Callithrix jacchus: one gene and its partners. The protein of the gene in region 2 purifies or fractionates together with the protein of the main gene of each other region. This does not show direct contact. Links are inferred from orthologs where the notes say so. Each region holds a gene or a part of one and is shown on either strand. Other genes may lie near its edges.

Region 1 (9,979 bases), on a different chromosome or scaffold from region 2:
GCCTAGAGTGGTCAAATCCAATAGAGACAGAAACAGAATGGTGGGGCAGGGGGTGGTGGCTTACACTTGTAATCCCAGCACTTTTGGAGGCAGAGGCAGGCAGATCACTTGAGGTCAGAAGTTCAAGACCAGCCTACTCTACATGGTGAAACTTTGTCTTTACTACAAATACAAAAAAAAACAGCCAGGGATGGTGGCAGGCACCTGTAATCCCAGCTACTCGGGAGGCTGAGGCAGGAGAATCACTTGAACCTGGCAAGTGGAGGTTGCAGTGAGCCAAGATCATTGTGTCACTGCACTCCAGCCTGGATGACAGAGTAAGACTGTCTCCAAAAAAGAAAAGAAAAGAAATAAAATGGTGGTTGCCAGAATGTTGGGGAAAGGGGTCATGGGGAGTTAGTACTTGATGGGTAGACAGTTTCAGTTTGGGAAGATGGAAAGGTTCTGGAGATGGATAGTGGTGTGACTGCACAACTGTATTAACGTATTTTATGCCACAGAACTATACACTTAAAAATGGTTAAGATGGTAAATGTTATGCTATGCCTATTTTATCACTATTTTAAAAAATTATCTAGGGCAACCCCTCATTTTACCAATGAGATCCAAGTTCACATAGCTACTCAATTATAAAGACAATCTCTAATTCTATTTCTACTAATAATGCTGCCCCTAAATTCTTTCTAGAATATAATAAAAAAATACTGCTAGAGACAAAGTGTCTAAAAGGAGGTAAATGACAGATTATAAAAAAAAAACTGTATAGAAAATTTACAATTACAATTAAAATGGGCAGATATGCCTTTTTTTTTTTTTTAAATTACCCAGGCTGGAGTGCAGTGGCACAATCTTGGCTCACTGCAGCCTTTGCCTCCGGGTTCAAGTGATTCTCTTGTTACAGCCTTCAAAGTAGCTGGGACTACAAACATGTGCCACCATGCCTGGCTAATTTTTGTATTGTTAGTAGATACAGGGTTTTACAATGTTGGTCAGGCTGGTCTCAAACTCCTGACCTCTGATGATCCAAGGACTGCCTCGGCCTCCCAAAGTGATGGGATTACAGGTGTGGGCCACTGCACCCAGCCCAGATATGCTCTTAATAAATGCATTTTTTAAATTTGCCTTATTCCTGCATCTATTCTATTTTCCTTCTCTTACCTTTTTCTAACTTATCTTCTTTTTGTTCTATTTTATATAAAGTCTTTGTAATCCTTAAGTACTCTTTAAAAGAAAATGGGAAATAAATAAAATGTATGGCCATAACTGTAACTGAATTACAAAAGAAAAGTACACAGAAGAATACTTTTCAACAAAATAATTACAGTTAAAATGTGGTCTTTTAGAAGGGTAATTCTTCAGTGGCATAAAAGAGGCTTTGTTATGATTTAAAGGTAAACTTTATCACGTAAGCATGCCTACTTCTAGTTAGCAGAGTTTTTGTACAAATACCTTTTCAAAACAATTACCTGGGAAACCATTTGGCATGTTCTACCCATGGATCATCTCCAGATTCCCAACACCTCAAGCCACCATCACAACAAAAGCATTTGACATCATCGTTGCGACCTCCAGGGAAAAACAAACAAACAAACAAATACTGAAAACCCATGTTCTAATACGTAAATTGAAATAAACTGATAAAATGTAGAGTTACTTGCTTCTTACCCACATAATAAAAACCAGCACTTGCAAGCTGCTCAGGCTGAACTGGAACACTAGATGGCCAGTACATGAATGTTCTCATTCGAGCTGCATGTGTCTGCATGCTCAGATTTGAAATGCTAAACCTCAGCGTTTCTAGAGAATTTTCCAAAAATGGACAGTTGGGAAAATGTCTCCGGTGTTCCGACATAGCATCATCCTTTGGTTCCCAGTTACTGAGCTTCCCACCACAGGCAAAGCAGGCTACCCTATCTCCAGGTCCTATATAATAAAAACCAGCTCTTGCCAATTCTGATGGTGACAAAAATGTTAATGGCCACATATGGAAGGTAAGAAATCTGGCTTCTTCAGTACTCATTGCATAACTGTAAGGGTTAGTCCTCAACGGAGACAAGTCTTCGACTGCTCTAGAATTAAGAGGGTTTGGTGAAGGGCTGGAGTAAGAACCACTGAACAAGCTACTGTGTTCCAACGTGGGAGATAATGAATGTGCAAAATTGCTTCTCATTGGAGACGTATTCTTAGTGGTGGATCTCAGACTAGCTGAAACCAGATTCTGAATAAAGCTACAGCTAGGATATAGCTGTTTATGCTTTTCAATAGGATTATCTCCCAGTTTCCAGTTATCCAGCATGAGGCCACAACAGAAGCATTTGACCTTGTCATTCACACCAGTATAATAAAAACCAGCACGAGCAAGACTCCTTTCTGAGACAGGAACCCCGGCAGGGAAAGTTGAATATGTAGACATTCTGTAGAGTTCACAGGAAAAGTCATACTTCATTTTTTGTTTGCTGCTGTTTGTCCAATCTGACAAAAGCGTGCTATCTTCCATTATACTCTTAATTTTTTGGTACCAGGGACCTGGGAAAAGTCTTTGGGAGGCAGTTTTGTGCATGAGTAGGTGATAGTACTGTTTGATAGCTAAAACATTCACTTGAAATTTCTTCACACTAAATAAGACCTTTTATCACAAAAAGAAATCAATGATAGACTCTTATGTAGAATTCACTATACTTTCTTGACTGGATTTATCTCAGTTTATATTCAGGTAGGATGAGTATCTCTCTGAATTACCAAGATACTACTTAGAACACGACTCTTTGGGGTTATAGTCACTCTTTTAGGCAACCTAAGTGCTATTTGTTCATAATCTGTATAATACTAACGAAAAGCTCAGAAAAAGTCAATGCACTTCTGAAAATGTTAAAACTCCTTGATTTTTCAAAGAGATTTATATTCTCAAAATTTTAAGCAACTATAGAATACCTAAATTATGCCTTTTATTTATGTTTGGTTACAAGCTATTAAGCCTGGATAACAGGACAATTACTGAATTATGCCACAAGGTAAGAAATTATATGCAGGCATCTTTCCCTATATGCATTTTAATATGACAACCCCCCAAAAATCTCATTTTATTCCAATAAACAAAAGTAATTAAAATCTTCATATGGTCACACTACTTAAAGGCTAAATTCACACCCCTTATCATCAGAGTATTTACATAAGTGGGCTATATTACTTCAGCTGACAACTTTTGGGGAAGCCAACACCCACAAGCTTTGCTGAACCTGTGCCAGTTACAGTGTTTGATGTCAAATGAACTTTGCTTAAAGTTCACAGACTGTAAACTCTTCTATCTTAGTTAAATATCATTTGTATTTGTTTCCATTTCCTGCAGCATCATGTGGACTTTCTGCCTAACTTTGTATACAGTTTTATTATTCTTGATTAACTAAAGGTATTTTCTCCATAAACTTAGTTAACTGTAAAATTTCCAGAGCACACTTTTTACACTGCATTTAAAAGCTAAATAACCTGTACATCATTTAAGGACGATTCAGCTATAATTATCAGTCATGTTGTAATTAAACATTACTCAATTTGTCACAAGATGTAACCTGCCCTTTCTAGTGTTATCAGAAATGCCTAACAAAATATTCTATTACCGAAAAAGTACTGCTTAGCATAATGTATCAATAATCAACTCTACTAGCCTTCTTTCTGAAATCAATGTTTTAAAAATACAATTCATACACAAAATTACACTCCATAGAATTCAAACTATATCCCTTTATAAAGTTTCGAGGTCTTCATAATGGGATTTATTACTGCAGGGGGAAAAATAGGGAGAGGGAGATTCTTCAGGGCTGTAAATCTGAAAAGAAAAAACAAAAGGTATTTCAGAAAACTGTATTTGCATGGCAAATAGAACTTATATACTCTTCAATTTATTCAGTGAAGTGAAAGAATAATTTACACTTTAGATAATACATCTTGGCGGGGCGCAGTGGCTCACGCCTGTAATCCCAGCACTTTGGGAGGCCGAGGTGGGCGGATCACAAGGTGAAGAGATCGGGCCATCCTGGTCAACATGGTGAAACCCTGTCTCTAGTAAAAAATACAAAAATTAGCTGGACATGGCGGCGCGCACCTGTAGTCCCAGCTACTTGAGAGGCTGAGGCAGGAGAATTGCTTGAACCCAGGAGGCGGAGATTGCAGTGGGCCGAGATTGCGCTACTGCACTCCAGACTGGCGCCTGGCAACAGAGCAAGACTCTGTCTTAAAAAAATAATAATAATAAAAGAAAAGATTATACATCTTAATTCCAGCAATTTGTCACTACAACTTTCTAACTGAAAAAGTACTTAATTAAAATAAATAAATGCAATATACTTCCCAGAGCACTAACTATACTGTCTTGAAAATGTACAATTTTGAAGGCAAATGGACATTTTCACAGGAAAAAACATTTTGTCCTTGCGCTCCTCTCCTTTTCTGACCTAAGTTATCTCTGGCACTCTCCTGGAGGCAAAGGAACGTTGGTTAAAAAGACAGGCAGACACTCCACTAAACCCGGTGAGCAGCAGTACAGCAGTAATTAGACAGCAACGTTAGTGTGTAAATATCAAGTCTCTGCACGACTAGGAAAACTGCAGTAAAACAGGAGCTCATTAATATAAACCCTTAAACGCCACCATTCCCTTACAATTCCAAGGCAACAACCGCAGAAAGCAACTCGAAAACAAAACCTAACACGATGGGCTGTGAAACAGTGGTCCTGGCACGGTGACCACTGCCGTGACGGCTTTAATTACACCCCGTCTCATAGCCTGTCTTTAAATGAAAGATTTGTATCTACGAGCACCACACTGCTGCATTCTCTTTATGCAAACTGCAGCGGGGCAAGGGGACAGGGCGGAAAGGAAAGGAATAGAAGCTATGGGATTTACCCAATACTTTCCCAGAGCTGTTCCTCACAACACACCGCAGGCGACTACCGGAGTGACAGCGCAGTGGGAACTATGAAATCTGAGATCTCGGCGCCACCGAAATGTCTTCGTTTCCATGTCTTCCATTAAAAGAAAGCCGAAAGCTAAGTTTAAAACCTTGCAAAAAAAAAACTGCGAGAAAACATCTTGGTCAAGGTCCCAGGGCCAGAAGAGTGGGCGGCGGCCAGAGGAGGCTTGAAAACAAGTCCTATTTAAAAAATCGCTTTGACTGCAAGTCTTGAAGTTGGGGCTTCCGAATCAAATAAAACCTCGGTGAGAGTGGAAAGCACAGAACCCCCGGCGACCCTCAACCTTCGGCCGACGGGCCCCAGGCCGCGTCCTTCCTCCCGCAGCCACCACATTAGGGAAGTGGGCCCCCGCGGGCCCGCGCGTCCCCACCCGTCCCCACCCGTCCCGCGCCGCCCGAGCCCGGAAGGAGCAGCACTCACCGCAGTGCGGGCGCAGCAAACACGGAAGCTGCGCGGCTACCGAGAGGCCTCCTCAGAGCCGGGAAGCGGCGGCGCCTACTAGGAGATACGGCCAGCTCATCTCGTATCAGCCCCCGCGCTCCCGAAGCCCGCCGCCCCAGCCGGGCCCACGCCGACGCACGGTGACGTCAGCACGCCGGGCCGGGGACCCGCGTTAGCCTCCGCGGGAGGGCGCCCGGGAGGCCGGGGCGGGAAAGCGAAACCCAGCGCGGGTTAGGCGGTGAGGAGACAAACCTCCGGGAAAGACGCCGGGTGGCCCAGGGAGGCCCGGCGCCAGTGAGCGCCCACGGGAGTCGCCGGCTGGGTTGTCAGGGGAATGGGGCTATCCGAATCAACTCGGTGTTTGTTCGTTTTATTTACCTTGCGGTGTGTGCCCCTCACATTTCCTTTCTCTCTGTGGCCACCATTCTCCTGGGGGACGTGGCAGAACGTGAGCCGCTGCGTTTGAATCTGCGGAAACACCCTGGCGCCGGTGGTTTTGCGCGTCCTACCATGTGTCATCTCAGGGCTGTGGCCTGGCCCTGGCAAGGCCCCCCCCCCAGTGTGATGCCTTCCCTCGTCGTCGAGATGACTGGATTTTGACGATGGAGTCGGTCTGGTGGCATATTTTGCTTAAGTAAACAATCGTAACTGTGTAGCATCGATGTCCAACGGTTGGCTGTGCAAATCGAAAACAGCGAAGCGTTGGAAAGTAGGAAGCATCCGATGAATAATTGTGAAGACTTAACAATTGTTTTATGATCAACTAGAGTATCTTGTTTTTAAACTTTTGGTTTTCGGTTCTGGAGACCAGCAGTGCATACTGAAATCACGCTCTGAGGAAAAGTGTCGGTATTTCAGATGCTCCTTGCTAGCGACGGGAACTGTATTGCAAGCCAGGCTTCACGCTCCGGTGTTTTCTGAGTTTCAGTAAAATGAAAGACATACTCCTGCCTGTATGTTGGTGTACACGCACATATAATTGTACATAAACCATAGAGGAGCCCAATTTTTTTTTAATGCTTAGGTAATAGAAAATTTGTAGATAAAAACCCTTGGCTTTTACTAGTCATGGACCGTTTGTGTCCACCTCCATGCTCCCTCAGTGGTGCCATAGACACAATGGCATGCAGTAAATGTTTTTGGTATGACAGCCAAAGACTTTTGAAGTTGACGCTCTTTGCCCATTGAATCTGATGCTTGCTTCTCTCTGGGGAACTCCAAGGGACAAACATTTTAAAAACTTCCAAATAGCAAGCCACTTAATTAGGCAGCCGGGGGAATTCCGAGACCCTGAACCATTTCCCATTTCCTGTCCGTGTCATTTCTGCCTGCCAATCAGTCACAGAACAGGAGGTCTTCTGTTCCAATGTTAACAGTCAGAGTAAGTGAGTGTAACAGTTCGTAATACAGAAAAAAGAAATGCCATGGCTCCCAATGACTAAACACATCCAAAAATACAGCTGGGGCTTGGTAGTAGTTTAGTATTTAGTTGAAGTCACTATTTCTCGGAAAGTTACAGAACATTCCTAACATGTGGGAAAATACATATAACAAGAATTGTTCATTCTGAACTCAAGATTATTTCTCTTTTTCAGTTCTTGTCCTGACCAAAACAGTAAGATAATGAATATACTTAAGTATAGGGGAAAGCTTGCATTTCAAAAAAGCAAAAGCCTTAGATAATTTTTCCAAAAAAGTAATATCGTTTAGGTATAATAAATAGTACTTCATAACTTTTAATCTTGTATAACTTTGTAGCCTAGTGTTATTTAATTCAGTTACTCATTTATTCAGTTAATTTGTTTTTCATTTTGCTAGTATAGAGTTGCTGTTAATTTTTTTAAATAAGCTATAGATGTCTGCTAAAGTTGCCGTGCTAACGTTTTTTGTATTTATGTATAAAAAAATATTTACAGTATTTAAAACAATTTTGAAGAAGAAAAGTAAGATTGGAAGGTCTTGTCCTAACAGGTAATGAATTATAATAAAACCATGGTAATTGAAACAGTCTTGCACCGACGAAGTCTCACTCTGTCACCCAGGCTGGAATGCAATGGCTCTATCTTGGCTCCCTATCCCCTCCACCTACTGGGTTTGAGCAGTTCTCCTGGCTCAGCCTTTCAGGTAGCTGGGACTACAGGCAAATGCCACCACGCCCAGCTAATTTTTGTATTTTTTGTAGAGATGAGATTTCACTACACTGGCCAGGCTGGTCTCAAACCGCTGACCTCAGGTGATCACCCACCTCGGCCTTCCAAAGTGCTCAGATTACAGGTGTGAGCCACCGCGCCAGGTCAGCTACACTAATCTTGGCCCCTCAATGACTACATGAATTTTCAGATCAGCCTGTCAAGTTCCAAAAACAGCTCTATTGGGATTTGTCTGGGAATTGCTTGAATTTATAGATTAATTCAGTGAGAAATTATAGGTTTATAGCATCGAGTCCTACCATTCATAATATATATGGCTTATATTTCTGCTCTTCCTTTAAGTCAATGAGTAATTTTTATATTTGTCTTAGTCTTTTTCTAGTGCAAAACACCCGAGACTGGGTAATTTACAAACAACAGAAGTTATTCTCTCAGTTCTGAAGGGAGGGAAGAAGAAGATCAAGGCTCCAGAAGGTACAGTGTCTGGTGAGGGCCTGGTGTCTGCTTCCAAGATGGTATCTTGAATGCTGATTCCTCTGGGGCAGACAAATGCTATGTTATCATGAGGCAGAAAGAACAGATGTACCATCACCTCAAGCCCTTTATAAGGCACTAATCTCATGCATGAGGGCTCACCCTAATGACTTACTTCTTAAAGGCCCCCACTTAATACTATCATTCTGGCAATTAAGTTTTAAACAGGAATTTTTGGAGACACATTCTGGCTATAGCAATACTCTTCGTGAAAGGTCTGTGTACATTTTGCTAGATATATTCTCAGGGTTTTGTTGCTATTGTGAATAGGATGTCTTTTTCTATTACGGTTTCTAAGTGGTTATTTCGGATGTACAGGAATGCTAATAGTTTTTTTCTAAGTTGATCTTGAATTAGAAAACCTTGCAAATTCTGCTACTAGTCCCAATAATTTATCAGTATATTCTTCTGGATTTTCTGCATAGACAATCATATGGTCTGCAAATACAGGTAGTTTTCTTCTTTTCAATTTAAAAATTTCATTTTCTTCATATGTTTCTTTCTTTCTTTCCTTTTTTTTTTTTTTTTGAGACAGAGTCTCACTCTGTCACCCAGACTGGAGTGCAGTGGCACAATCTTGGCTCACTGCAACCTCCACCTCCTAGGTTCAAGAGATTCTCCTGCCTCAGCCTCCTGAGTAGGTGGGATTACAAAGAGCCCACTACCATGCCTGGCTAATTTTTGTATGTTTGTTTGTAGAGACAGGGTTTCACCATTTTGGCCAGGCTTGTCTCCAACTCTTGACCTCAGGTGATCTGCCCACTTAGGCCTCCCAAAGTGCTAGGAATACAGGTGTGAGCCACCGCACCTGGTTGATTTCCTTCCCTCCTTCTCTTCCTCCCTCCTGCTCTCCTTCAACTCTCTCTCTCTTTCTCTCTTTCTTTTTTTCAGAGTCTCTGTCACCCAGGCTGTAGTGCAGTAGCACGGTCTCCACACACTGCAATCTCCACCTCGTGGGTTCTAGCGATTGTCCTGCCTCCACCTCTCAAAGTGGTGGGAGTATGGGTGTGAACCACCGTGCCTGTTGATTTCTTTCTTTTTCTTTCTTTCATGCAGAGTCTCACTCTGTCACCCAGGCTGTCCAGTGGCATGTTCTCCACACATTGCAACCTCCACCTCCCGGGTTCAAGTGATTCTTCTGCCTCAGCCTACCAGGTAGCTGGAATAATAGGCATGTGCCATCACACCCAGCTAATTTTTTTGTATTTTTAGTAGAGAGTTTTCACCATGTTGGCCAGGCTAGGCTCCAATTTCTAACCTCAGGTGATCTGCCTGCCTCAGCCTCCCAAAGTGCTGGGATTACAGGAATGATCCATCTCACCTGGTTGATTTATTTCTATTATAGGTTGACTCACATACATTTTTGATGTTGGGCATCTCATAACCTAAAAAAAAAAAAAAAGGCAACTTCCTATGTATCAGCTGAACGCATTGCCTAGGACCTCCAGTGCCATGTTCGGTAGAGACAGTAATAGAAGCTACCCTTGTCTACGTCCTAACTTTGATGAAAATTTCTTCTAAAATTTTACCATTAAGTGTGATAATTGTTATATACTAAGGAAAATAGGGCCAGGTGTGGTGGTGCACACTTGTAATCCCAGCACTTTGGAAGGCTTGTGGGGAGGATTGCTTCAGCCAGGAAGGGGGAGGTTGCAGTGAGCCAAAATCTTGACACTGCACTCCAGCCTGTGTGACGGAGAGACCTTGTCTCAGAAAAAAAAACCCCAAAAACAAAAAACAAAACAAAACAAAACAAAAAAAAGGATGCTAGCTTGCTAATAGTGCATTATGTGTTGACTCTGTCCTTGCATTATTGAAATATAACCTAATTCGCCATGATGCATTATGTGTGTGTGTACATTACTGCATTTGACTTGGTATTATTTTA
Region 2 (9,844 bases):
AATTATTCAGATGTAAATGAAAAAGTAACTAAAAAACAAATATGGAGTCGGTGTCCATCTTGTAACTTGTTAAAGATTACAAGCTAGTTACCACACAATCAAAAGTTAAATAGCAACTTATATATTCTGTCATAACCTATTTCAAATCTAATTTGCTTTTCTCAACAACCATGAAGTATACTATTATTCACATTTTCTAGATAAGAAAATAGTTTCACGGAAGTTAAGCAACATGCTATAATTCTCATTTAAGTTATACTATATGTATAAACTTAACCACTGAAGGATCTGGAAAAAGTAAAGAAGCTCCTAAAATTTTTTTCTAAAATAAGAAATAGCTTTTATAACTAATAAATATTCTTTAGTATTCTGGTACAAAAAATATTAGCCAATGAAACCAAAATGTAAACAGGGCAGATGCTAAAATTCCATCTGTTGATCAATGGCAATAACTAATTATTGAATAATAGAATGCCAGAACTAAAAGGAATTTGAGAGGTCACCTAGGATAGTCTCTTATTATTAAAGATGAGGGGGGAAAAAAGGCACAGGACAGTTAAGTCGTGCCCAACATTCCAGAGCTACTTTGTGGGAAAATGAGAACTACAATTAAATAAATAATGCCTGTTTCTCAACCCCATAGTTCACTCAAATGACAGTGGTTATTCACATCAGCTATGGTATGAATGTACCCACTAAAAGCTCACATGTTGGAAACTTGGTCGCCATTACAACAGTGTTAGGAGCTGAGGTCTTTGGGAGGCAACAGGGTCATGAGGACTCTGCCCTGGACTAACGCCATTATCATGGGAATGGGTTAGTTATTTTGGAAGTTTGACTCCCTTTTCTTCCCTTTCACACTCTTGCCCTCCTGCGCCCTTACATCTTCTGTCCTTGAACTACGGATGACCCATTGCCAGATGGTGGCGCCATGGTCTTGGACTTAACCAGCCTCCAGAACTCTAAGAAATGAATAAATTTCTTTTCTTTATAAGTTACCCTGTCTCAGGTACTGCTACAGCAGAAAACAACTTAGATCCATCAAAGAATTTTATCATATCCAAAGGGTATAGCTAACTATCATCCAGATGATTGAAAGAATAAATTCAAATACAATTTACCCTTCTTAGCAAATATTCAACCTACAGGAACAGAAACCCTGAGTTGACAATTTTTAGGTAAAACCTGCATAAAGTACATTTATACATCACTTTTTCCACTAGTTTTTCAATCTCACAATACAGTTAGCATGTCTATCCCATGCTATAGAAACTACTTTCTTAGCTATGACTCAAAGGGAAAACTTGGAATGTGTCCGAGCAAGGACTTAAAGAAGACGAGTTCCTTAAGGGCAGAGCCCTAAATTATTCATTTCTGTATCCCTAATGCCTAGAACAGCTGTAGAACATCACATGCACATTTATGTGCTCTGGAGAGAGACAGACAGAAACAGAGGCGGTAGGGGGTTGGGGATTTAAACTGTGCAGGCAATTCTACACAACATTCCAGTCAGTGAGTGTACATTCTGGAGTGAGGGTAAAATGGGACAGGTGAATTTGCTATTTCTTTCATCTGTTTCCATGCTTTCACATCTTGCCAGACTAGTATTTAAAGTCATGAATCTTTTATGCAACCTGATTCTTATAAACATATGCCGATTATTTCATCTTGTGATCAACTGGTGGGAGAAAAACTAGCAGAGTTAGACTTTTAAAATACTTTGCCAAAATATTGTTCTTTATGTGTTATGTACAGTATTTTCAGAGGTTACTCTGGAATAGATTAATTTTACGTTCTGTTGACTTTAGAAACAAACGCTTACGTATACAGGGATTTCATAATAGTTTTCTATAAATGGTATTAAATAAATATAAATACAGGATGTTGAGTGATATTCCACTTTTCAATGTAATGTCATATAAGGGAAAATAAATACAAATTGAATATAATTTTGAAGTTTAAACTTTTTGAAAGCAAAATGATCATTTCTGGTTTGTTTTGCTTTTTCTGAGATAGGGTCTTGCTCTGTTGCCTAGACTGGAACACAGTAGCACAGTCATGGCTCACTGCAGCCTCAGTGTCCCAGGCTCAAGGGCTTCTCCCATCTCAGCCTCCTGAGTAGCTGGAAACACAGGTATGCACCACCATGCCTGGCTAATTTTTAAATTTTTTGTAGAGACAAAGTCTCGCTATGTTGCCCATGCCAGTCTCAAACTCCTGACCTCAAGCAATCTTCTTGCCTCAGCCTCCTAAAGTGCAGATACCTGGCCTGCTTTGCATTTTTTAAAAGCATCATTATATTTAAATTAACTCTTAGATACCTAAGATATCTTACCTTTCAGATGTTCTAGTTTTAGATTTCTAAGTTTCAGCACTTCATCTGTAATCTTCTGTATCAGGAAGTTCTGTGTTTTTTCTCGCCGAATAGATTCAACAAGGGTGTCTAGACCTTTTGGGTTTTCCTGTAGGTAGTCTAACAATTTTCCAGCCCGTTTTCTACTTGATGTTCGACAAGAAATTTCTTCAGTGTCTTCTCTACTGAGTATTTTTTTTGCACGCAGATGATCAAAATGTCTCTCGGCTATGATTTTCTCACACAGGTATACACGTAAATTTTCTAAGGCCTAAAAGACACAAAATATGGTTCAATGTTGTTCTGTAACATCTAAGAAAATCACATAGGTGTGCATTAGCTGGGAATCTTAACTGGTGTGAGAGAAAATTCTAAAGTGAGGAGGCTCAGGCCTTGTAAAATGCGTGCTAAATAAAATGAAAATCCAAATAGACACAAGTAGGTCCTAGACATTCCTCACTGCTCTTATCTCACCTTCAAACCTAAAACCCAAGAGCAGGCTGTTGTGAGGAGGGACCAGCTGAATCTTGAGGGCCTGGGTCCTCGGAAACAGGGAGGTCTGTGGAGGGCCATCTTTGGAGGTAAAGATGAGGGCAAAGACTACTGTACATTTTACTTATCAGTTAGCAAGGAATCCAGAATTAGGACCAATAACTTAGTCCTAATAACTTAGGACCAATAACTTAGAAGTGAGAGGCTTCACAGTCTGTAACTTTCTCATGTTTGTCATTAATTACTCTATTTCCTTAGAGTAAAACTGTTAAAAACAAAAACAAATCCCTAAATGGAAAGGGCCCATAACGTATCTGTCTTTGGGGTCAGCTGGAAAGACTACACTCTAACTCAGTGAATCAGTCTTGGAGGAACGGAGATGGAAAGATGTGTGGGGAGAGAAACCTAAAGGAATAGTGACTGTTGGAAAAAATGGAAGAAATAAAGAAAAAGGACACCAAAAAAGCAAACCTAGACTTGAGAAGTACCTGACAGCTTGATTAGTAGAAAATCCACGTTGATCTCAATAAATGGCATTAATAATTTGATACCAATGATTATACTTTAATTCCTCTATTTACTAGACACAGGATCTTGGGCAAGTAATTAACTTTTCTGTACTTGTTTCTTCAGCTGACTGTTATATGAGGAATGAATAAATTAATATATGCAAAGTGCTTAAAAAAGTGCTTGGTACAGAGTAAGGGATCAATATATGCTAGTGATGATGACAAAGGTAATGGAAGGTCTTAGAAATATCCTAGAATATGATGGCGGGAAAGTAGGCTAGGTGATCGGTTCCTGTGTGAATAAACACTTTCTTTTTTTTTTTTTTACCCTATTTTCAAGCTAACACTTCACTTTTAAACATCCTCTTCCCCATTTCTCACGTCCAGTCCATCACCATGTCCTATCTTATCTATTTCAAAAATGCATCTGGAATTCTCCTGGCTCATCCATCTCCACTGCCTTCACCCTGATCCAAATCACCATCATCTTTCATCCACATAGATTCCAGGAGCCTGCTCAATGGTTTCCCTGCTCTTATTCTTGCTCTCCTCAGTCCATGAAACAGGCAGAGGGAATTTAAAAAATACAATTCTTCAACGAGTCCCTACTATACTTTGGGGAAAAGAAACCCAAACACTTTACTAAAAAGCTCTTCATGAAAATGGCTCTAGCCCACCTTCCTAACTGCATTTCAGATTATCCTCTCTGCCTTCCTCCGATTTCTCCAAGTCACCAAGGTCTTGATTGTTTTAGGTCCTTGGCAAATTCTATGCTGCCTAGAACGCTCTTCCCTCAGTTCTGTCAAATTCTTCAGGAATCAGTTTAAATGTGACCTCTCCTGACCATCCTATCTCAAGTCGATTTCCCCTATTACTGTCTTGGCACTGTTTGATTCCCTCATAATAACCGCCATAATGAAAACAAATAAATCTATTTTGTTTTCATTTATATAATGAAAACAAATAAATGTAAAAATACATTTATTTGTTTTCAACTCTAACATCTCTGTTTGAAGCAGGCAGCAAAGAGGTATGTTTTAAGCAACACTGTCTATCCTGTACTTAACCCAGAGCACCAAGTAGATAATGCTTCAGATGAATGCAAAACTCACTGCACTTATTTTTGGGATTTAAAATGATCCCCCTCAAGAAACTGAACTCTTTTCAAGTTAGGATTGTCTTAGTTTTTAATTTTTTAAATTGTAGAACCAACCACAGTATCAGCCTCACAGTAGCATGTAATCCATATTTATTAAATTGGACTAAATCCAACCAACACGATGAGGCAAATAACCAGACAGCAAGAGACACTAAAGAAGTGAGCGGTCCCAAGACGAAGAGTGGTAGCACACCATTCATCGAGACAGACAATACAGCAGCAACAGCAAGCAACTGAGGGGGAAGGATGATAAAACGTTCAATTTTTGTCAAGGTGAGCAATCTGTAGGATATAAAAGTAGATTTCCAGTAGACATTTGGAAATAAGGACCAAGAGTAGAGAGAGAGGTCCAAATATTTTGATGATAATTTTAAAACTTTCTAAGATCAGAAAACATTTTGAAAATATCATGAAAAAAATCTCTAAGAAGAAAGCATGCACATAGTTTTTTTCATAGACCTTTTGAAATCCATCCATCATTTCAAGGTTATGCAATTCTGATATAAGCATAAAATGAAATCCTGAAGATGGATAACATCAATGAACTGACAGAAAAACAAAGACCTGGAAGCCAGTCTTTACAACTGTATTTGTATACAGGTCTTATTTCCTTCCACTTGTAATTTCTCAGTTCCTGTTTTATTAGCTGTAAAATGTGAATGGCAATTATCTTCTTTAGAGGTTGTTGTGAAGGTTAAGTGGGAACATTGTAAACTGTGACACAGAATGTGGAACATAGGAGGCCTAGCTCCTGGAAGTTCAAGGTTTTACTGGTACTCACTATGAATAAGCCAACATTTATTCTACAGTAGTTTATTTATATGCCATTCTTATCTCAACTAGAATATAAAGCAGGAAACTGATCTTCATTTTTTGTATCCTTCCAGACCCAAGGTCAGTGCTTTCCATATAGTAAGTGCTCCATAAATCTCTGTTGAATGAGGAAACTAAGCACAAGTCCCAGTCATATCCAGTTTCCTTCTGCTGGTGAGTCACACCAATTGTGAGTACAGTGTAATAAACCTTACAGGGAAGAGGAAGGGATTTGAAGTGGATGAACATTTAAAAAGTTGCCATCCTGTCCAGTTCACCAAAATGACTGTGTAAAAGTACCGCAATGCTCAATAAGAACACGTTTCATGTTCAGTTTGTTTTTAATTTGAATTTATATAAAGTGTTTTAGTGAAACTCATATAGGTCTCATCTGGCAAAACAAGTAACTAAACACAAAAGAATGTCATATCTCAACAAAGCCATGCGATACAAATCAATATGAAGGTTTATGTAGTTCTGCACCATCCGAGAAGAGCATAATTTAGCTACTGAATATTTTCGACGTTTACCTGTAGGATAATTCTCAGCTACGTGTATTCACTCCCCCAACCCCAATTTAAATATGTGGGTGTCTGCTAACTAGGGGAATTCCGGGTTGTGCTTTCAGCTGTTGAGCTTCCTCCAGCCCCCTATGCAAAAGAGCTTCACATTTTTGGTCCACTGCTCGGGATCCTTCATCTGGTACAACCTTTGCTCTAGGCTGATATAGTAGCCTAGGCGGCCAGACTCAAGGATGAATCTGAGCCGCCAGTCCCTAAAGAAGCATCTCCAAGAACGCAGTGGGGGAAAAGCATGCGGGGATGGGAGAGGAGTGGGCAAGAAGCAAAGCTCCGCTGGGCAAGGTTCCCAAAGCCCAAGCTCTGCGTTTATCGACGTAAAACCTAGATTAACAGGTCACTGCTACCCAGGTCCCTCGGATGCAGGGCTCGCCGCATTCCTCCCGTGCTGGGACCTTCCGCTCCTCCGACCTGGAGGATCCTCCTTGTCCTCGGACTCCAGGTTTCCGCTTCCCTCGCCCGCTGGACTGCAGCCCGCCCCCTCCTGCCCTGGGCAGAATGTCGCTACTCACGTCCTTCTTCACTTCAGTGAGGTCCTCCTCGGTAAGGGACGGCGCGGTGGGCTCCATGGTGGAGGCTGGAGATGGCGCTTCTTCCGGGTCTAGGAGCTCGCGCTCCGCCGCCCCGCCCTGACTGAGAGCTTCGGCCTCCGGGTAATGGGAGAGAAGGCGAGGAGGCGGAGCGGATAGGGAGAAAGACTGCCGCCCCTTCGGGAACAGAGCTGGGGGTCAAACCGTAGCGCTTCCGGCCCCGCCCCTGGGGTCGACGGCGTCGCAAATCTAGACGTCGCGACGCGGAGCTAGGAGGAGCGCTCCTTCCCTCTCCCAGAGGCTTAAGGTGCAGGCACCGCCCCCGGGCGAGGCGGGTTCCTCGGCAGAGCCCACCCTGCCACTGCGGCAGCCTATCGGCGGCACCCCGCTGGCCGCTCCCGTTCCCGCCCCCCACCGGAGCCTTTCCGGTGGCTCCGCCCACAGCGGGGCCGCTTCTCAAGCCACGCCTGCGCAGGTCGTCGGCGAGTGGCCCGGGTTAGCTTCCCCATAAGGTAACGTTTCCGTGGGTGGGATCCGTCAGTGCCCAGGCAGCTGGCATTGTCAGCCTTTGCTGCTTGCTCACTTCGGGGGAGTCCGGTATAGGCTTGTCCGTACCTTCGGGTTCCTCCCCTTTTCCCAGATCCTGCCCTACAATTTCCTGATGCTATGTTTGTCAGTTACTGTTTTGGGCATATACAAACGCACTCACACACACGTACACATGCATACACACAAACAGCGTAACTAAAATACTGAAGAAATTTTTGAAGAAAAAAAATTTTCGAAAGAAAAGAAAAAAATGTTTTTTGATTGTCCACTATGTGCCAGACACTGTTCTAGGTGCTAGGAAAACCGCTGTGTATAAAACTGATAATCCCTTTCTTCATGGAATTTATATTCTAGCCTATGTGTGTTTGGGGCAGACGAGGTAGACACTTGAAAATTTTTATCTAAGTTTATTTATTTATTTGGAGATACAATCTCACTCTGTCACGCAGGCTGGAATGTAGTGTCATGATCTCCACTCACTACAACCTCTGCCTCCCGGGTTCAAGTGATTCTCCTGCCTCAGCCTCCCGAGTAGCTGGGATTATAGGCGCGTGCCACCACACCCAGCTATATCTAAGTTTTTTAAATTAATGAATTTATTTATTTATTCTTTTGAGATGGAGTCTCGTTCTGTCTCAGGCTGGATGGAGCACAATGGCGCGATCTCTGCTCACTGGGTTCGAGCAATTCTCCTGCTTCAGCTTCCCGAGTAGCTGGTACTACAGGTGCGTGCCACCATGCCTGGCTAATTTTTGTACTTTTAGTAGAAACGGGATTTCACCACTTTGGTGAGACTGGTCTGGAACTCCTGGCCTCAGGTGATCTGTCAGGCCTCCCACCTCCAGGCCTTGGCCTCCCAAAGTGCTGGTATTACAGGCACGAGCCCCCATGACCAGCTATATATAAGTTATTTAATATATTAGAAGATGATAAACGCTAAGAGGAAAAAATAAAACAGGGAAGTAGGATGAGGCTGTGTGGGTTGGCAACATTTAAACTAACGTGGTCGATGACTGCACTGCTCACTTTGGAGGAGTCTGCTCTCGGCTTGTCAATACTGAGATAAGGGATTTGATTTATGCTTAAAGGAAGTGAGGGAGTGATTCGTGTGGATATAAGGAGAGAGCATTATGAGTACAGCCGGCAACCAACAAAAAGGCTCAGTGTGCCTAGAAGGAGATGAACTTGTGTGCTGAGTCATATGGGTGTGCTGAGTCAGACGGGAAGCCACTGGAGGGTTGTGAGCTGAGTGACCTGATCCGATTTGTGATTTGAAAAGAAATACTTTCACTTTTGTGCTAAGGGAAGAGAAGGTGGAAGAGGGAAAACCAGTTAGGGAGCTATTGCTATATTCAGGCCCCAGGAGGTGGTGGTTCAGACCAGGGTGGAGCAGTGAGGGTGATGGGAGCATTTTGAAGAGAAGCAAGGAAGCAGTTTGATTTCATTTTGAAAGGATCACTCTGGCTGCTGAGTGGAGAGTAGAAGGCAGGGGCAAGGGCAGAAGCAGACACCAGGTGGAGACTACCACAGTGTCAGGGTCACCACTTCCTCGAATGTCATGCTTGGGGTCAGGTTCCAGCCCATTGCTGAGGTCCAAGGGGAGTGGGTGGATGAATAGAAGAAACACCCGGGAGGACCATAGACAGGTGAAAGATTTTATTCAGCAGCAACTCTCATCAACAGCTTTCTTACACTAGTTGTCTATACTGTCTGCCCTGTCTCAGCTGCTTAGTCCAGCGGCACCCCCACACAGGTGTGTGGTGGGCTTTGCCTTCAGGGTCAGCAGCTATACTCTTACTCTGTCTGGGCACAAGCAAGCCGAGCTTTGTCCTGGCTCCCCACTGTTCGTCTGCAAGACAGACAGCTCTGGCTCTCCCTCTCTCTCTCTCTCTCTGGGCACCAGTGTGCCTGCACAGTGTCAACAGGGCAATTATATCTTTTACAGACAATAGTGGCTTAGAGCCAAGGGATTACCTTCCCATGTCATGGCTACATGGCTGTGATAACGAGTGGAGTTTTACGCCTGTGCTCTAAACTTGCTGAGTGCCTTTGGATGTTTACTTCGGCTTATCCTTGACCAAAGCACAGCTCTGTTCCTTATACACAGCCATCCAGGCACAGCTTAGGGTGGCGGGACCAGGGTTGGGGCAGTGGTGAGCACTCCCCACTGAAACCTTAAATCGTTCGGAGTGTTCATTGTTATTAAAAAATTGTCACAGACTTTACATATTTTCACCGTTTTTCCCTTCAAATTATCATTGCCTGCATAAATTCCCAGGAGTAGGAGTACAAAGCCCAAGGAAATGAATATTTTATGGCTTTTCATATATATTTTTGCAGGTGCTTTCCAAAAGGGTTGTATTGGTCTATCCGTGTGTGGGAAATCAGTTCTGCTGATGAAGGAGGGGTTCTCCCATCAAAGCAAGTGAACTGAATGCTGCCAATTTAACCACTCACTTTGATCGGGCTATTTGGAGGTTGCTACTGCACTTTTGTTCTTTTTTAAAGGAAACATTTTGAACCCACCAAACTATAAAGAATATTACAAACACCCTATGCTCACTACCAAGATTGAACAGATATCAATATATTGTCACATTTGCTTCTGTTATGGCTTTGGATTACCAAATGTTAGTGGCAGACATCTTTGATTCTTGAACATTCTTTCATGCCCTTACGATACATCTGAGTCTTTCTCTTTCCTTGACTCACATCATTTCATTTCTGATACCGCCAACCCTTTTCTGTCCTCAGTATTCATTCCCTTATTTATTTGGTCAACTAAAAAGTTAACTTTCTGCTCTGTGTTAGAATTGGGAGTTATAGAGTAAGGGGCAGGAATTGGGTGGGAATGAATGAGG
Region 3 (9,859 bases), on a different chromosome or scaffold from region 2:
AGGCAATCTGCCCACCTCTGCCTCCCAAAGTGCTAGGATTACAGGCATCAGCCACTGTGCCTGGCTTATCCTGGCTCTTTACTCTGGATGCTATGCCTCTTAACAATAGGTCTCTGAAATTACACAGGAAGGACCTGATTAAGCAGGTCATCCATAAAGCCCAGGTAATTTTTAGTCTCTGTTGTAAGACATACCAAAGTATCTTAAAAGCAAAGCAAATCAGCCAGGCACAGTGGCTCATGCCTGTAATCCCAGCACTTTAGGAGGCCAAGACGGGAGGATCACCTGAGGTTGGGAGTTTGAGACCAGCCTGACCAACATGGAGAAACCCCATCCCTACTAAAAAAATACCAAATTAGCCGGATGTGGTAGTACATGTCTGTAATTCCAGCTACTTGGGGGGCTGAGGCAGGAGAATCACTTGAACCCAGGAGGCAGAGGTTGCAATGAGCTGAGATTACGCCATTGCACTCTAGCCTGGGTGACAAGAGTGAAACTGTCTCAAAAAAATTAAAAATAAAAAAAGCAAAGCAAATCCTACAGGGAGTTTTTTAACAGAAAACATAGGGAAGGGATTGAACAAATTTGTGTATGAAGGGTAAAGGCAGAAAAATTTAAATTTTAAATTAGTGACAATACTTCTAAAACAATGGATAATACCTAACTTTTATCTAGCTAAAAGTAAACAGTCAACTTAATTCAATACTTACCAAGTAAATATTTATTAAGTATGCACCACGTATGGGTGATATAGAAATAGTGGCAAACAGACTGAAGGGGATGGGAAGATGTTGTTATCCAAATAAAGAATGTTTATATAAATCTTTATCCTTTTTGCTTCAATGGAAACACAGGTTTTTGGTTTTTCTTCACATTTCACTTTAAAACCAACAAACCACTTTTGTTTCCATGTACCTGACGCTACCACTCCTAAAGTAAATTTACCCTTTCCACACCCTCATCCAGTTACTGTATTCTCCTTAGAGACTACACCCAGAAGCCTCACTCTATTCTTGGATGCCTTCCCAAACCAGTTCACCAAGCTTTCTTCCTCAGACCCAGATCCTGAAATCCCATCTCCTCTCTCAGGAAGCCTTAATTTGAAAGCCAGGTTAATCTGCTTAGCCCCACCCACAGAGAGCTTAAAACTACCATAACTCTCTCACACTCACCACCTTATAATAGGCTCCTATTATTATTATTCAGCTCAGAAGTTAATTTATTCATGTGCTTATTCAGTTTATTACTCATTGCCCTTATGAGTCTGTATCAGGTCTTAAATAAAAGCTACCAGATAAAAGGGCATGTACTTAACTTGGGTTTAGCAGTGAAAATGGCAATGCTTAATGCTTTCTGAAAATGATTTCAAATATATTAAATTTAACCTGATTTGTGAAATTTATAAAATCTCCCAACATAAATAATCTCAAAAACATTATGCTAAGTGAAAAGTGCCAGACACAAATGACCTCATACCATATGATTCCATCTGTAAGAAATTCTAGGAAAAACTAGTGACAGAAAGCAATCAGTGGGTGTAAGGGGCCTTATTTTCCCACACAGGATTTTTTTAAAGACAAGAACCATTTAAAAACCTCAAATCAGGCCCGGCACAGTGGCTCACACCTGTAATCCTATCACTTTGGGAGGCCCAGGTGGGTGGATCACCTGAAGTCAGGAGTTCAAAACCAGCCTGGCCATCAGGGTGAAACCCCATCTTTAAAAAAATAATAATAAATAAATAAATAAAATTTTAAAAAATAAATAAATTGAAACCTCAAATCTGTATCATCTTAGATTTCACATTAATCTTTACGTCAAAAGATAAATTTGGAATTTTCTTCCAAGTGATTTACCTGCCCATTTACAACCAATAGCAAATTTTATCATTCAGTTCTCCGTCAAAACTAACAGCTGGCCCGGCGCGGTGGCTCACGCCAGTAATCCCCAGCACTTTGGGAGGCCGAGGCAGGTGGATCACCTGAGGTCAGGAGTTCAAGACCAGCCTGACCAATACAGTGAAACCCCGTCCCTTCAAAAAAAAAAAAAAATTTTTTTTTTAATAGAAAATAAAAACTAACAGCTTTGGAACTTTTTTTTAGGATAGTTTTATTTGTGTTGTTTCCATGTAAGCACTATGCAATCCAGTCCTTAATTCAAGATCTGAAAAAAAAAAAACCTGAAATAGAAAAGGGGCTACAAGCCTGGCATAGTGCCTCACGCCTATAATTCCAGCACTTTGGGAGGCCATGCCAGTAGATCACCTGAGGTCAGGAGTTTGAGACCACCCTGGCCAACATGGTGAAACCTCATCTCTACTAAACAAACAAAAAATTAGCTGGGCATGGTGGCGCAGGCCTGTAATTCCAGATACTTAGGAGGCTGAGGCAGGAGGATCGCTTGAACCCGGGAGTCGAAGGTTGCAGTGAGTCGAGATGGTGCCACTGTACTCCAGCCTGGGCAACAGAGTAAGACTCCTCTCAAAAAAAAAAAAAAGCCAGGATTGGTGGCTCACACCCATAATCCCAGCATTTTCGGAGGCTGAGGTGGGAAAATGACCTGAGGTCAGGAGTTCCAGGCCAGCCTGACAAACGTGGTGAAACCCCTTTTCTACTAAAAATACAAAAATTAGGCCAGGCGTGGCGGCTCACACCTGTAATCCCGGCACTTTGGGAGGCCGAGAGAGCAGGTCACGAGGCCAGGAGATGGAGACCATCTGGCTAAGATGGTGAAACCCCGTCTCTACTAAAAATACAAAAAATTAGCTGGGCGTGGTGGCACCAGCCTGTAGTCCCAGCTACTCTGGAGCCTGAGGCACAAGAATCGTTTGAACCTGGGAGGCACAGGTTGCAGTGAGCAGAGATCGTGTGACTGCGCTCCAACCTAGGTGGCAAGAGCAAAAACGCCATTTCAAAACAAAAACAACAACAACAAAACAAAAAAAGAGGCTCCAGTAAACAGTAAATACCATTCTCAACTATTCTGAAAATTTTTGCAAATTTTTTTTTATTATCGCTGGAAAACAGCTGGGTTTTAAACTACATTTTAGTCTCTATTCCATGAAGAGGCTCTTTTAATCCCTAAAGTCAAAACATTACTCTAAAACCCTCAAGAGTTGACGGAACAATGTATTTCTATCTCGTCACCTTGTATCCTCATTACCACTATTTGTATCCACCAATATTCCACACCAAAAAAGGCCACAATTTCTCTGATGTTAAAATTTACTGATAAACTCAACAGGTTAAAATTACTTATCAAAGTGTGGCTAAGTGATTAAGCTCTCTTTTAATAAAACTGAGCTGAGTAAATTTTAACATGGTGGTGCTCAAACTGCCTCTGCCACTATCTATACAAATTTAGTTTGGACTGAAAAGTGACAAACATGACCATTCACTAAAGGAAAGAGTAATTAACACTTTTAAAAGAACTACAAAGGATTTTACATAGTATAATTCAACAATTTCGTATCATATCTGCTGACGAGATCACAAACATTGTCACTATGCCATGTCCTTCCTGGAACCCCACTGGCTCCTGCAGCTTTATTCTTGACTTTTTCAAAGGTTTAAACCACTTGGGGCTGCTGAAGGAGGTATCAAGGAAGCATAATTTGTGAACCCAAGCTGAGAAAAGGGCAGGAATATGGGGTTGAGTCACGTCGTTCCGCCATTTTCTAAGCGGAGGAGGAAGACATGTTGGAACAAAAACACAACAAAAGAGCAGCCATTTCCCAAGCCAGCTCCAATAGCAACCCGAAATGACACTGCCCTGTCGCTTCGCCACCTTCAAATCCACTTCACTGAGCAAACCTCTGAACACCAGACATGCCGCCGTAAAAAAGGCAGCAGTCAAACCTTCCGCGTAGAGATCAAAGATGACCTGCACACTTTACTGCAAATGAAAGCCTCGGGAAGAGGGAGAAATGACGGAAGCGAAATGGGACACAGTGTAATACAATGAAATTTTAAACTAAGTTAGCAAACTGAAATTTACTCAGTGATTGCGATAACTGACTTACAGGAAGCCACTAGCTGTAGGGAACCCAGGTAACTGAAACACCAAGACCTGGATTCAGCTGGTCTCCTTACCTGCCTCTACCCACTTCCCCATTCCGTGCTTCCCTCAGCAGACCGCCTATATGCACAGGGTTCTTACCGTATGTGGGGGATGCCAACCCCACCTTGAAGAATCTTATAGAGCTTGCTCTCGTACAGCAACTGGGGATGCCTGGCCTTCTGAGATTCTAGCTTCACTGCCACTTCCTGCAGGGGAAAGAGGGATGATGGCATCAACATCCCTACGGATTCAATGTCACTTAGGAAAGGAGGGAGAGACATTAGCAAAACTCCAAGTCGCGACTACAGGGAAAAAGCGAAAGACTGGAAAGAGAAAGCTCTCTGTAATTATAAAATGAGGCAACCAGCCTCTTCAGGGGGTAGTGACGAAATCCCTACCTCTTCTAAAGTGCAGGAAAATGATTCATCCAGAAAAAAAGAGGCAACCTCTGAACGTAATGAGAGGTTTTTAAGGAACTAGGCGATCGGAAACTGTTCTAATTGGAATAAGAGGCCAGCAGAATTAAAAATAAAATAAAATAAAAGCATGGGAATCACAGAAATAGGATTTTGCCGTTTCCACCTTAAAAAACGGTTAAAAAAAAAAAAGTTCAACTAAGGGACATTTATGGGACGTGTTTAACAAGCTGGGAACCTTCCCCAACCTTTCTATCGGGTTCTTGATCCTTTTAGGGAAAGAGCGGGGGAGGTTCAAAAGCCAGGAAAACTAGCTCTCTGGACTCCCTGACGAGTGCGTGCGGTGGGGAGAGGCCCAAGCACTTTAGGGGTGCGCGGTGGTGGGGGCGGGGAATGAGGAAATGCCCAGCGTTATCGTCAACCCTACCCCAGGTGATTACCTCGCCGTTGGTGATGTTGATCGCCAGATAGATGTCCCCGAAGGAGCCAGACCCGATCTTCCGTACCAGTTTGTATTTCCCTCCGACAATGAATTCGGCCTTGGAGCCGCTGCTGCTCGCCATCCTGAGAGACGAAGATGGAGGCTGGGGCCAAGCCCCGACACCTCTGAGGGGAAGACGGAGACCTCTCGAGCTCCTACACCGGGCAAGGCTACGGAGGAAGGCAGCAGGAAACGGAACACAGAGGCCTTTACCGGCGTTCGGGGCCCAGAATCAGCCGAGGGGAACCTGATCACCACCGCTCAGTCAGGTTTCTTTTTGCCAGGCCGCACTTTGTGAAGGGCTTCTCGCGGCTACCAGGCTGGGCCACTTGTTCTCGTTGGCGGCCGATGCCTGCTTGAGCGGCGACGTCGCGGGCAGGAAAAGGGGCGCGGTGAGCTAGGGCGGCGATACCACTGCCAGCACTGCTGCTGGCTCCGGCCCGGAGGGACCCCTGTCACTCCGCCGACGACGCCATCTTGTTACTCCAGCTCCAGCCAACACAAAATGCCCCCAGTCCCCGGGAGCCGCTTCTTCACGGCGCAGAGCACTCTGGGAAAGGGATCTCGGGCGCTCGCTCCGGAGGATCTGCAGCCAGAGGGAGGGCGGAACCGGATCCGTGAGAGTCGCGGCCCACGCTCCAAGCGTCACCTCGTCACCGCCCAGCTGCGCATGAGCACTGTAACTCCTGCTGACTGCGCAGGCGTGCCGCGGCTGGTACTCACCCCGCCCCAGGCTCTCTTCCACTTCCGGTTGGCGGCTGTTCAGCCGGTGCTACCTGTTACCACGGACCCGCCCGGACCCGCCCGGTCTCTGGAAGGCTGAGTGGCCTCAGGCACCGATGTCAGGGAGAAGTCACCTTCCCGTTTCCTAACAGATAAAAGCTTCAGGCCTCCTTAGGAGTTTGGTATTGACCTTTGCTCTTTGTTTCAGGAGGTTTTTTTTTTTTTTTTTTTGAGACGGAGTTTCACTCTTGTTACCCAGGCTGGAGTGCAATGGCGCGATCTCGGCTCACCGCAGCCTCCGCCTCCTGGGTTCAAGCAATTCTCCTGCCTCAGCCTCCCGAGTAGCTGGGATTACAGGCCCACGCCACTATGCCCAGCCAATTTTTTTTTTTGTACTTTTAGTAGAGACAGGGTTTCACCATGTTGACCAGGATGGTCTCGATCTCTTGACCTCGTGATCCACCCGCCTCGGCCTCCCAAAGTGCTGGGATTATAGGTATGAGCCACCGCGCCCGGCCTGTTTCAGGCGGTTTTTAATCTTTGATCTTCTGGCCGCTCCCCCCGACCGGCCTATTGCAACCAAGTTTCTGTTTGGAAAGAGGCTATCGCCTCTGGTGGAGAAGAAGAGAAAAGCAGCCCGCGTATCGGGCTGATCGAATCGTTCAGGGCTCTCGGTTGTAGCAAAGCCCAGCTAATTACCCTTCATAAATAGAACTGTGTTCTCTACTACGGAGTGTTAGAGACCCTGTTTGCTCAGGAGGGGAAAAAAGAAGCCGGAATCCTCCTACCGTCCTTTGTCTTTGCATTATTGCCCCACTACCACATTTGATCTTCATGAGAAAACCGGGTATCTTGCCATAATGAAGATTAGTAATAGGTGGAATCAACAGAAAATTAACAAGAGTGAAAAAACTGTTCTAGCCCTCCTCCCAATCCCACCAAAAAAACGAAAAAAAAAAAAAGAATCATATGTTGGTCATATGGAAAACCTCAATATTAACCTTAACATATAGCAGAGGTAACTGTCGCAAAACATAATTGACAACATTTAAAACCATATGGTAGCCAGGGGCACGGTGGCTCACGCCTGTAATCCCAGCACTTTGGGAGGCTGAGGCGGGGGTATCACGAGGACAAGAGATCAAGACTATCCTGGCCAACATGGTGAAACCCCATCTCTACTAAAAATACAAAAATTAGCTGGGCGTGATGGCAGGCGCCTGTAGTCCTAGGTACTCAGGAGGCTGAGAGAGGAGAATCGCTTGAACCTGGGAGATGGAGGTTGCAGTGAGCCAAGATCATGCCTCTGCACTCCAGCTGGGTGACAGAGTAAGACTGTGTCTCAAAAACAAAACAAACTACACGGTAATTTTTTTCTTTTTACTAAAAATAGATCAGAGAATGAAATCTTGACCACATATTGTTTTACAAAATTTGATGGCCAGGAGTGGTGGCTCACGCCTGTAATCCCAGCACTTTGGGAGGCCAAGGTGTTTGGATCACCAGAGGTCAGAATTCAAGACTAGCTGGACAACATGGTGAAACCCCATCTCCACTAAAAATACAAAAATCTGCCATGTGTGGTGGCACACACTTGTAACCCCAGCTTCTCGGGAAGCTGAGAATCATTTGAACCCGGAAGGCAGAGATTGTGGTGAGCGTAGATCACGCCACTGCACTTTCAACCCGGGCAACAGAGAGACCCTGTCTCAAAAAAAAAATTATAAGTACAAATGGAAAAAAATGTGAAGTATTTTAACTGCAACTTTGAAAGCTGATCAGGTAATTAGTAATAGGGTTCATCTTGGAAGAGATCTTAACTGAAGAGAGAGGGGAAAAGACTTCCCCTAAGGTTTAGCATGAAGTTTTAAAGCACAACCAACACCTGGGGTGCCCAACTCCCAAATCAGCCCTATTAGACATCATTTGCCTTTGGTGACTCGAAAGCACATTTTGACTAAGTTAAAATCTGCTGTTAAACTCTGGTCTAAAATTAAAAAAAAAAAAAAGCCAAATATGGCTAGACATGGTGGCTCACACCTGTAATCCCAGCACTTTGGGAAGCCTAGGCAGGTGGATCACCTGAGGTCAGGAGTTCAGGACCAGCCTGACCAACATATAGAAACTGTCTCTACTAAAAATGCAAAATTAGCTGAGTGTGGTGGCACATTCCTGTAATCCCAGCTACTCAGGGGGCTAAGGCAAGAGAATCGCTTGAACCCGAGAAGCAGAGGCTGTGGTGAGCCGAGATCATACCGTCATACTCCAGCCTGGTCCCTGGGCAACAAAAGCAAAACTTCATCTCAAAAAAAAAAAAGCCAAGTTTAAGCATCTTGAGTTTTCCAGAGATCACTACTATTTTGCTAATTTTCTTTCTTTTTTTTTTTTTTTTTTGAGACGGAGTTTCGCTCTTGTTACCCAGGCTGGAGTGCAATGGCGTGATCTCGGCTCTCCGCAACCTCCGCCTCCTGGGTTCAGGCAATTCTCCTGCCTCAGCCTCCTGAGTAGCTGGGACTACAGGCACACACCACCATGCCCAGCTAATTTTCTGTATTTTTAGTAGAGATGGGGTTTCACCATGTTGACCAGGATGGTCTCGATCTCTTGACCTCGTGATCCACACGCCTCGGCCTCCCGAAGTGCTGGGATTACAGGCATGAGCCACCGCACCCGGCCCCCAAAAATTTTTTTAACATAGAAAATAAAGTCCTCAGGTGTTGGCTATGACTCAGCCTTCTCCTTAAAGTCATGTATCTTTTGCACGAACTTGCATCCTAAGAGACTGAAGAATAACCTGTTTTTGGTGTTGCTACTAAAGTCACAAATCATTCTGTACTTACTAAATCAGCAGCAGCTTTGGTATAATGAAAGGAGTCTTTTAAATGTACCAAATAGGGCTGGGGGCAGTGGATCATGCCTGTAATCCCAGTACTTTGGGAGGCCTAGGTGGGCAGATCATCTGAGGTCAAGAAATCGAGACCATCCTGGCCAACATGCTGAAACCCCGTCTCTACCCAAAATACAAAAATTAGCCAGGTGAGGTGGCATGTGCCTGTAGTCCTAGCTACTTGGGAGGCTGAGGTTGGAGGATTGCTTAAGCCCAGGAGTTCTGGGATGTAGCGCACTATGCCGATTCGGTGTCCACACTAATTTCGGCATCAATATGGTGACCTCTCAGGAGCGGGGAACCACTAGGTTGCCTAAGAAGGGGTGAACCGGCCCAGGTCGGAAACAGAGCAGGTCAAAACTCCAGTGCTGATCAGTAGTGAGATCGCGCCTGTGACTAGCCGCTGCACTTCAGCCTGGGCAGCATAGTGAGACCCTGACTCTTTAACAAAAGAGAAAAGAGGGCCGGGCACTGTGGATCAAGCCTGTAATCCCAGCACTTTGGGAGGCCGAGGCGGGTGGATCACGAGGTCAAGAGATCGAGACCATCCTGGTCGACATGGTGAAACCCCGTCTCTACTAAAAATACAAAAAAAAATTTGCTGGGCATGGTGGTGTGTGCCTGTAATCCCAGCTACTCAGAAGGCTGAGGCAGGAGAATTGCCTGAACCCAGGAGGTGGAGGTTGTGGTGAGTCGAGATCGTGCCATTTGCCCTCCAGCCTGGGTAACAAGAGTGAAACTCCGTCTCAAAAAAAAAAAAAAAAAAATTTAGACCTTGAGGGAAATATAGAGCTCACCTAGTTCAATAATAATACTTGTATTTTTTAGTGCTTCGCAATTTATTATTTTTATTTTTATTTTTTACAGTCAAAGTCTCACTCTGTCACCCAGGCTAGAGTGCAATGGCACCACCATAGCTCACTATAGTCTGGACCTCCTGGGCTCAAGCAATCCCCCTGCCTCAAGCTTCCCCAGTGGCTAGGACTATACGCAGGCACCACTGTGACTAATTTTTTTTTTTTTTTAAGACTCAGTCTTGCTCTTGTCCACCAGGCTAGAGTGCAATGGCTCGATCTCTGGTCACTGCAACCTCCACATCCTGGGTTCAAGTGATTCTCCTGCCTTAGCCTCCAGCATAGCTGGGATTACAGGTGCCTGCCACTACGCTGGCTAATTTTTGTATTTTTAGTTGAGATGGGGTTTCACCATATGGCCTTGAACTCCTGACCTCAGGTGGTCCCCCAGCCTCGGCCTCTCAAAGTGCTGGGATTACAGACATGAGGCACTGCGCCC

Evidence for each region. The genes of interacting proteins can lie anywhere in the genome.
Region 1: the proteins of BCL10 (region 2) and BIRC2 purify together in Homo sapiens (affinity purification with western blotting; 3 studies listed by BioGRID and IntAct, with this or other methods). This does not show direct contact. The link is inferred for Callithrix jacchus from reciprocal best matches to the Homo sapiens genes BCL10 and BIRC2.
Region 3: the proteins of BCL10 (region 2) and CSNK1A1 purify together in Homo sapiens (affinity purification with western blotting; 4 studies listed by BioGRID and IntAct, with this or other methods). This does not show direct contact. The link is inferred for Callithrix jacchus from reciprocal best matches to the Homo sapiens genes BCL10 and CSNK1A1.

Annotation. Positions count from the first base shown.
Region 1 is NC_133511.1:2,386,986-2,396,964, reverse strand, and holds the start of BIRC2 (baculoviral IAP repeat-containing protein 2), read right to left. Parts: upstream 5,547-9,979; 5' UTR 5,387-5,546; intron 5,070-5,386; exon of another isoform or gene 5,018-5,069; 5' UTR 4,899-5,017; intron 4,228-4,898; exon of another isoform or gene 4,205-4,227; 5' UTR 4,100-4,204; intron 4,057-4,099; exon of another isoform or gene 3,926-4,056; intron 3,824-3,925; 5' UTR 2,561-3,823; coding exon 1,666-2,560; intron 1,567-1,665; coding exon 1,467-1,566; intron 1-1,466. UniProt on the Homo sapiens protein: Multi-functional protein which regulates not only caspases and apoptosis, but also modulates inflammatory signaling and immunity, mitogenic kinase signaling, and cell proliferation, as well as cell invasion and metastasis.
Region 2 is NC_133508.1:122,506,405-122,516,248, forward strand, and holds the start of BCL10 (B-cell lymphoma/leukemia 10), read right to left. Parts: upstream 6,540-9,844; 5' UTR 6,474-6,539; coding exon 6,417-6,473; intron 2,625-6,416; coding exon 2,336-2,624; intron 1-2,335. UniProt on the Homo sapiens protein: Plays a key role in both adaptive and innate immune signaling by bridging CARD domain-containing proteins to immune activation.
Region 3 is NC_133503.1:48,236,974-48,246,832, forward strand, and holds the start of CSNK1A1 (casein kinase I), read right to left. Parts: upstream 5,547-9,859; 5' UTR 5,039-5,546; coding exon 4,916-5,038; intron 4,266-4,915; coding exon 4,159-4,265; intron 1-4,158.